2 linked regions of the Coturnix japonica genome follow. The protein of the gene in region 1 purifies or fractionates together with the protein of each later gene. This does not show direct contact. Links are inferred from orthologs where the notes say so. Each region holds a gene or a part of one and is shown on either strand. Other genes may lie near its edges.

The links.
Region 2: the proteins of BMS1 (region 1) and RCL1 purify together in Homo sapiens (co-immunoprecipitation; 4 studies listed by BioGRID and IntAct, with this or other methods). This does not show direct contact. The link is inferred for Coturnix japonica from reciprocal best matches to the Homo sapiens genes BMS1 and RCL1.

Annotation. Positions count from the first base shown.
Region 1 is NC_029521.1:4,146,074-4,150,353, reverse strand, and holds the start of BMS1 (ribosome biogenesis protein BMS1 homolog), read left to right. Parts: upstream 1-1,332; 5' UTR 1,333-1,483; coding exon 1,484-1,659; intron 1,660-2,233; coding exon 2,234-2,424; intron 2,425-3,204; coding exon 3,205-3,284; intron 3,285-3,724; coding exon 3,725-3,913; intron 3,914-4,043; coding exon 4,044-4,186; intron 4,187-4,280. UniProt on the Homo sapiens protein: GTPase required for the synthesis of 40S ribosomal subunits and for processing of pre-ribosomal RNA (pre-rRNA) at sites A0, A1, and A2.
Region 2 is NC_029547.1:24,742,820-24,746,633, reverse strand, and holds part of RCL1 (RNA 3'-terminal phosphate cyclase-like protein), read right to left. Parts: intron 670-3,814; coding exon 566-669; intron 1-565. UniProt on the Homo sapiens protein: As part of the small subunit (SSU) processome, it plays a role in 40S-ribosomal-subunit biogenesis in the early pre-rRNA processing steps at sites A0, A1 and A2 that are required for proper maturation of the 18S RNA.

The sequences.
Region 1 (4,280 bases):
TTGCTGTAAGCTTCACACGCTGTATAGAAGGGAAAGGAAGGTGAGGAAAGCCAGCAATGTGCACAAGAGAGCAACCTGTGGGAGGTGCGTTGCCAGTTCCTCTCCTGTCCTGCTGGGACTGTCACCAACCAGCACCGCTGTGGACATTTGGCTTTCAGTAGCTTCACATTAACCTGTGTGTACAGACATACCTCAGTACAATACCTCGGTACCAAAGACTTTTGTCTTCTGCTGCCCAGACTGCATTGGATTCTACCAGGAGGCTTTGGACTGCTGAGTTGGTTTTGTAGTCTCACCGCACAAGATTGTACTGATTTTATATAGAGTGTCTAGTGGAGATAGCATGAATGCAAGATTGTCTGAGTGTGGGATATGCAGCCTGGGTGTATTTGTGTTTTAGGTGTGCTCCTGGTAAAGGGCACTCCTGGTGTCTTCTTGGGTATTTAATGTATAGTATTTTCACTTCAAAATGACCAGATTTTATAGCCTTTTAGAAGGCTTTATTTTTGTGATTTCCTGTTGTGTGTACATATACATATATATATTTCAAATCATTTGCTAATATTGCGTTGATCTAATTTAATTAAAAACAAACACAAACCAACACCAAACAAATCGATTCTCAACTTCCCAAAGGAAGGGTATTGACCGGGGTTATATTGAACTTGTAGATCTGCACTGGGGGTAAAAGTGTCATTGTGTTCATTGCACTTGACACACAGGGCCCTGTTTTTAGCCTTCTAGACCTCCACAGCCATCTGTAAGACCGGTGTGATCTTACCAGTCTGGGGGGTGTGTAGCTCTAAGGGGGTTAAAGCAACATCACGCTGAAACTTATACACGTAAATCCTCTTTTAATGCTTAAAATATGACTCTGGAATGCTTTACATGTGCCTAGATTCTAATATGTACACTGTGAACTGCTTTTCTATAGCATGAAATAAATATAAGAGAATGAAACTTAAACACGGAGCATTATCTTATTAGTGAAAATGGTTATCTCTGTGGGGAAGCTTCCTAGAGAGATGTGTGCACAAAGAAGCCCAGCATAGGTGCAGGGTCGCTGCCCAGAGCCACATCCATCCTGGCCTTGAATGCCTGCAGGGTTGGGGCATCCACAGTCTCCATGGGCAGCCTGTTCCAGTGCACAAGCTGCGGGCGCTGTGACACGGACAGTGTCAGCTCTATGTACACGAGGTACAAGGACCCCTGCACACACAGGGCACTGCAGTGTTCCAGCCGGCAGGCGGCACCGCCTCAGTGTTCGCGGTGTCCTCCGGAACGCCGGGTGCGGTCTCTTGTTTCCGGAGGAGGCCGGAAAGCGCTGCGGGCCCACGCGGTGTGCAGGCGGGTGGTGCGGTGCTGGGCCCGGGGAGCGGGGTGGGCGCTCAGCGTTCTGTACGCCCCGCTTCGCAGCACGGGGCTCGGTCAGACGGAAACCTTCCATGCCACGCTGGTTGTAGGCGGCTGTTGAAGGAGTAAGATGGAGGAAAAGGAGAAGAAGAAGCACCGTGCCAAGCACAGCGGGCCGAAAGCGGAGAAAAAAAGGAAACGGCATCTGAATGATCTGGGGATTGGAGAGGAGGAGGATGCACGGAAGAGAAACCCCAAAGCCTTCACAGTGCAGTCCGCTGTGCGGATGGCCAGGACGTTCCATAGGTGAGCAGCAGGGATTAGTTACAGAGCACGCAGTCCATTAGGTGGACAGGTAAAGGCCTTTTACAGCTGCATGGAGCTGTGGGTGCCCCATCCTTGGTAGCATGCAAGGCCAGGATGGATGGAGCCCTACAGCCAGCCCACAGTAGGGGGTTGGAACCAGTGAGCTTTAAGGTCTCTCCCAATGTTTATGTGATTTCATGGTAATAATGTTAGCTGCTGCTTCCTTACCTATAAATGTATATATATAATGTATAAATGTATAAATGTTTTACCTATAAATGTACGTAGTGTAATTTTCACAGATAGGCTCACAGAGCTTTCCCCGTTGACAAGGCTGTGCTGTAATCTATGTGTTTGTCAGTAGTGTGGTGCATCCTGCATCTGTATTACCTGCTAAGCTTACCAGGAAAAAGCAATGTCCATAGAGATCCTTAGGCTTAGTCATAGTTCTTTGGTCATGTTGATAGCCAGGCAGCTGGTGAGCCTTTGTATTTACAGATACTGAAGATTTTCTAAATGAATATTTATTGCCTTTTTTAATTACTTCTTGTACTTGTTTTAAATTTCTTCTCAGAACTCAGGATTTGAAGACTAAAAAACATCACATCCCGGTGGTTGACCGTACTCCGTTGGAGCCACCTCCAGTGGTGGTGGTTGTAGTTGGCCCTCCCAAGGTTGGGAAGAGCACCTTAATAAAATGTCTCATTAAGAACTTCACAAGACAAAAATTGGTTGAAATCCGGGGCCCTGTTACTCTTGTTTCAGGTGAGAACAGAGATATAAGAAATGGAAATGCCTATTTTATGCTCCGTTGTTCTCTTGCTTTTAGAACTAGGACGTGTTCACGTTCTCTTGATTCTTAGTCATACTGAAGAAGTCATTTGGCTGTGTTATCAAACACACTTATTAACTGTAAAGTAATTGTTAGATTTGGGCTTTTGTTCATCTAAATGTGTTCCTTTGTTTGTTATGTTTTCAGTCCCAGCTTGTACTTGGCCGTTGCCTCTTGGCCTTTCTTCTTTATTGCCATTTGGATCCTTGAGGTCCAAGGAGGAGCCCAACCCACAGCATTTCAAGAAGATTGTAAGGGAACTCTTGCTTGAACCCCAGCAGTTGTGTCTGCTGTTGGTGGACTCCTGAGAGGCTTAAACTAATAAATCTGCTTTCTGTCAGGAATGATAGACAATAAAAAGACAGAAAAGGAATAAATGGGATGGGAAAAATGTGCTGAATTGGATTTTCTCTTTGGTCTGGGATACAAAGATAAAAAACAAAGCAGAGGTTTCCTTCAAAATGCGACTTGTCTTCTGTTGTTACTTTGTTTTTGGAAAAGGCAGAACAACTTGTTGGAAACCATGTGCTCAGCCTGATAATTTTACATCAAAGGTAACGTGGCACAGAATTGCAAGCATTTGAAAACAAATACTTTTACCATTGCACGTAGTTGGCAGTCCACTTTCTAGACTGCAGGAGTATAACCCAAAAAGAAATCAGTGCAGTAATTCCTTTCCTTTCTCTTTGAGTTTCTGCTCCTTTTGTTTTCAGGTAAGAAACGCAGGCTAACTATTATTGAATGTGGGTGCGATGTTAATACAATGATTGACCTGGCTAAAGTTGCTGATCTGGTAAGTTACAAATAGCTTGTGATTTCTACTGTAATTTATGTTGAAAGTACTTCTTCATAGAAGAATGATCCTGCAAAATGATCCTGCTGTTATTGGAGGGTGCTCAGTTTTTCATTGTTTAAATTCACCAAGTAGTCCAGGCCTTAGTAGGTTACTCTATATTATATTTTCTACAATTCTACTCAGTGAATGAGATCTTTGTACAGGAGATTGTTTGACTGGAAAATTAGATTTGATTCCCTAACTGGTACTAACTTCTGAAGCATACTGTAATTAAAAAGCCCATGTTGATTTTCAGGCTATTTGAAAATCAGTAGCAGAAGTTGTGCTAGTTTTTCATTTCTGAGCAGCTTATGACTTTAAAGGCTTAGTCTTTGAATTTAGCTCATGTGGACATTGTAGTGGTGTTAAACCATGAGCTGCCTATGTTGTGTTCTCAGGTTCTGATGCTCATTGATGCCAGCTTTGGGTTTGAGATGGAGACGTTTGAATTCCTGAACATTTGTCAGGTACACGGCTTTCCCAAAATTATGGGCATTCTTACCCACCTGGATACATTCAAGAACAACAAACAGTTAAAGAAGACGAAAAAGAGGTTAAAGCACAGATTCTGGACTGAAGTATATCCGGTATGGCATCCCTCAGTCATTTTCTGTAGATTTTAATAATGATTTCTGAAACAGAATTGCATTAGGTTTTTCCAGTTTAGCAAGTATTGTATTCATGTTTAATATTTTAATGTCTTTTGAATGTATTTAGGGTGCTAAGCTGTTTTATCTGTCTGGGATGGTTCACGGAGAGTATCAAAAGCAGGAAATTCATAACTTGGGGCGTTTCATCTCTGTTATGAAGTTCAGGCCTCTTACTTGGCAAACGTCTCACCCATACGTCCTTGCAGACAGGTATGTGCCTTTCTCTGTTCCTCAATATCAATACAGAAAGCATCTTCCCTGTTCAAAAAGCTAGAAATAGTTCAGCATCGTGACACAGAACTTA
Region 2 (3,814 bases), on another chromosome or scaffold:
TTCCTTTTGTTTCCTCTGAATCATTACTAGTGACAGACAAACCTTTAATACAATTAAAGATTAAAGGGCATCACAGAAGTCAACTACCTGACAGGTCTAAAGCTTTAGGGCTGCACACAGCTCTGGAAATTGAATTTTTGACGTGTTTCCTTTAGGCAGTTACAGCTTTAGCATTTGGCAAGCCATTCAAAATAGGCCATTTGATGCCCCAGGTATAGGGAAATCACTAGGAAAACAAGGTAGTATATCCTAGGCAACAAAAAGCTAACTGACATACACATACACTACAAGACCAAGAATCCACAATAAACCTTATCTCTGCAATTTTAATTGCTTCAGAATCAGAAAGAATACACAGTGGTAAGGAAATAATATTTTAACGTGTAAAAATAAACACTAAGTAACTTACACTACCCATATCTGTCTTAAAATGAGACAAGTTGTTCTACTCACAGCCACAGACAACATCTTTCATATAGAACAAATAGCTGTGTGATAGAGAATTAAACAAGACTAAGTAATTAAAATGAAAAGAAAAAAAAATAAAAATAAAAAAACAACTTACGTGTATGGAGACAGAGGTCCTAACAGGACTTTGGAAACATCCTGTTGTCCAAGGGTCATGAGCAGCAGAGCAAGGCTCTGGTTTGTTGAATCAACACAACCTCCCTGTAAACCATAATGTTTTAATAATTAATCTCTGTACAAACCAGAAATTGAGATGGGAGGAGAGTAATGGAGAAGAAAGATACATTTAAAAGGTTGAATTACTGCTCTCAGTTTTCAAGGGCCAAAAAGATAAAAATCTTGATTTTGTAACAGTGACAAATTCATTTCACCTAGCAGGTTGGGAAAGAACTAAACCAAAACCCATGAATAATGTCAAAACAAAGTACTCTCTCTCATCTCTTCCTGTTCTGTTCAAGCATTACAAAACTGAAGCATGGAAGTGTTTCTGAACTTTAATAAACAGCTTTAAAGCAAAAGGATGCCATGAAATTCTGAATTTCATTGGTTGCAGATCCAGAGCCACAGTGTAGTCTGTCAAAAGTTTCCTGCTAAATTAAAACAAATCATAAGCCCACTGAACATGCTGTCTGGAGAAAGCAAAACTATAGAGGCTGCTAACTGGAAGTTAGCTTTGTGGGCAAAGCACAAACTTAACATTTTAAGAAATATAATTATTCATAAAAGCAAATTTTTTGAAATTTGGAATTCCAAATAAATTTTGGGATAGACTAAGAAAACACAGTGATGTGACAATTTGAACACATTCACTCAGTGAATAGGCAGAAAAAATGACTATTTTAGTGAGAGATACTGATAGTAATTTTCAAGATGGTTTTACTTCAGCGTGGCAAGTCTCACTGTTCCTTGGAAATATAAATTCAACACCCTGAATCATACAGTTGTCGCTATAAGAAAGGCCTTTAAGATCTTCCTTATATCTAAGCTAAAGGTACCTCCACTGCTGCAACTGCTGCAACTTGCTGCAACCCTTATGTTCTATTAGTTGTCAACCAAGAAAAGAGACCACTACCAACTTCACAGCAGCCCTCTCAGTTAGATGTAGAGAACGATAAGGTCCCCCCCAGGCCTCCTCGTCTCCCAATTAAACAACTCCAGTTTCATCAGCCGCCTCTAATATATCTTTTTTTCTAGTCTCTGCACCAGCTTAGTTATCTTTCTCTGAATGCATTCCAATGACCTGACATCCTTCTTTTAATGAAGGACCCCAAACCAAACAAGGAACTAGTGGCTCTGTCTCCCCTGTGCTGTGTCCAAGGGAACAGTCCTGTGACCCCAATGCCTTAGGTTGGAAGGGACCTTCAAGATCTCTTAGTTCCAACCTATTGTGATGGACAGGGCTGCTACCCACCAGATCAGGTTGCCTAGAGCCCTATACAGCCTAGTCTTGAATGCCTTTAGGAATGAGGCATCCACAGCTTCTTAGGGCAGCCTGTGGCAGTGCCGCACCACCCTCTTGAGTGAAGAATCTCCTCCTAACATCTAACCTAAATCTCTCTTATTTTAAAGCCATTCTCCCTGCCACTGGCTTTCTTGGACACCCGTGCACACTACTGGCTCATATTTCTCTCTGCAGGCAGACAGCTCTGGTGCAGCTGCATTCCACACTAAAGCAAGGAATTGACTGTGCCTATTCAGGACAACTGAATTCCTGTCAGCGACAAGCTGCCAGACACAACTGCCTTCCATGTGGCAGCAGCTCTGACATGGTGGGGGCAGGGCCAAGAGCAGCAGCATCACACCCTGAAATTAGAAAAGCAGCCTGTGGGGAGCACAGCTCCCAGCAGTGCTGAAAACAGTGGGCAAACAGAGCATGGTGCAGCAGCTGGCACAGGCAGGACAGATTATCCCTCCCCAGTCCGGGGATTGGCTTACCTATCAGCTGCCTCCCAGACAACAAATCTAGCCATGGTCTCCACTAGGCAGAAAGCTCTTGCCAAAAAGAATGCAGCTACCCAGACTGAGTGCCTGCCCAGAAATAGGGCTGTTTCAGTCTCTTGGTTGCAGGGAGTGTCTGAGCCTGCTGCTGCCCCCGCAGGATGGCAGATACACCCGCATGAGTTGTGAGCCTATGGATGATCTGCTCAGCATAGGGACAGCTCAAGGCGGAGGTGGAGAGATTGAAGAGCATCAGGGAGTATGAGCAGGAGACAGACTCCCTACTGATTATTATTCCTTACTGATAGTTCAAGCTGGCAATAATGAAGCCACTGAGAGCCTGAAAGCTATCAAAAGTGACTTCAGGGGACTGAGGCAGTTAGTGGACTAAGAGTGGGAGTACAGGTGGTATGTATCTTCCTCTAACCCTTCAGGTGCAAGGAGGAAATTGACAGGACTGGGAAAACCCATCTGATAAATACATGGCTGAGAAGCTGGTGCCACCACAGGAATTTTGGCTTTTTTGACCATGGGGTGGTTTACTCAGCACCTGGCCTGATGGCTGCTGATGATGTCCATCTAAGTCAAGAGGAAAAGAATTCTGGCCCAGGGTCTGTCTGGGCTTATGTGCAGGGCTTTAAATGTGATTTAAAAAGAGAAGGGGGTAATGGTGAACTTGCCCATGAAAAGATGTGGAATAGCACAGCTAAGTTAGAAAAAAGGTGCTAGTGGAGACCCTCAACCTGCTGTATCTTATGATACGTGTACTAGGCAGCAAGTTGGCAGGCCTCATCACTAGATTTGACTGGGGGTGGGGGAGACTGTGCTTCTGAGGAACAGAGAATAATCAGGAAACACTTTAGGAAGTAGCAGGCAAAAACCTCAGATTTTTCCTAAGGGAATTAAGGAGGGCTCTTCCAGGAAGGTAATGAGGCTGACAGCCCAGCTGAAAAGCCTCTATACCAAGACATGCAGCATGGGAAATAAACAGGTGGAGATGAAAACCATGGTGCAATTGGAAAACTACTATCTTATTGCTATCACTGAAGCATGGCATAGCACACGTACCTGGAATACCATAACTGAGGGCTATGAGCTTTTCAGAAGGGATGGATGAGGCAGGAGAGGTGGAAGAGTTATGATGTTAAGAAGTGCAAAGACTGTTAAGAGCTGCCCTTGACAAACAGTCATGAACAGATTGAGAGTTTGTAGTTTAAAGTCAGGGACTGGACCAATAAAGGGCACCTGGGGTCCGGATCTACTACACACCACTTGATCAATGGGAGCCTGTGAATGAGGCCTTTTTGCTTCAGCTACAAAGGTATATTACAAAAGCAAGAATCATATATGCCCTTTTCAACTTCTTTTTTGATGCCTAGCAAAAAGAGCAATTTAGCACTTCACATAG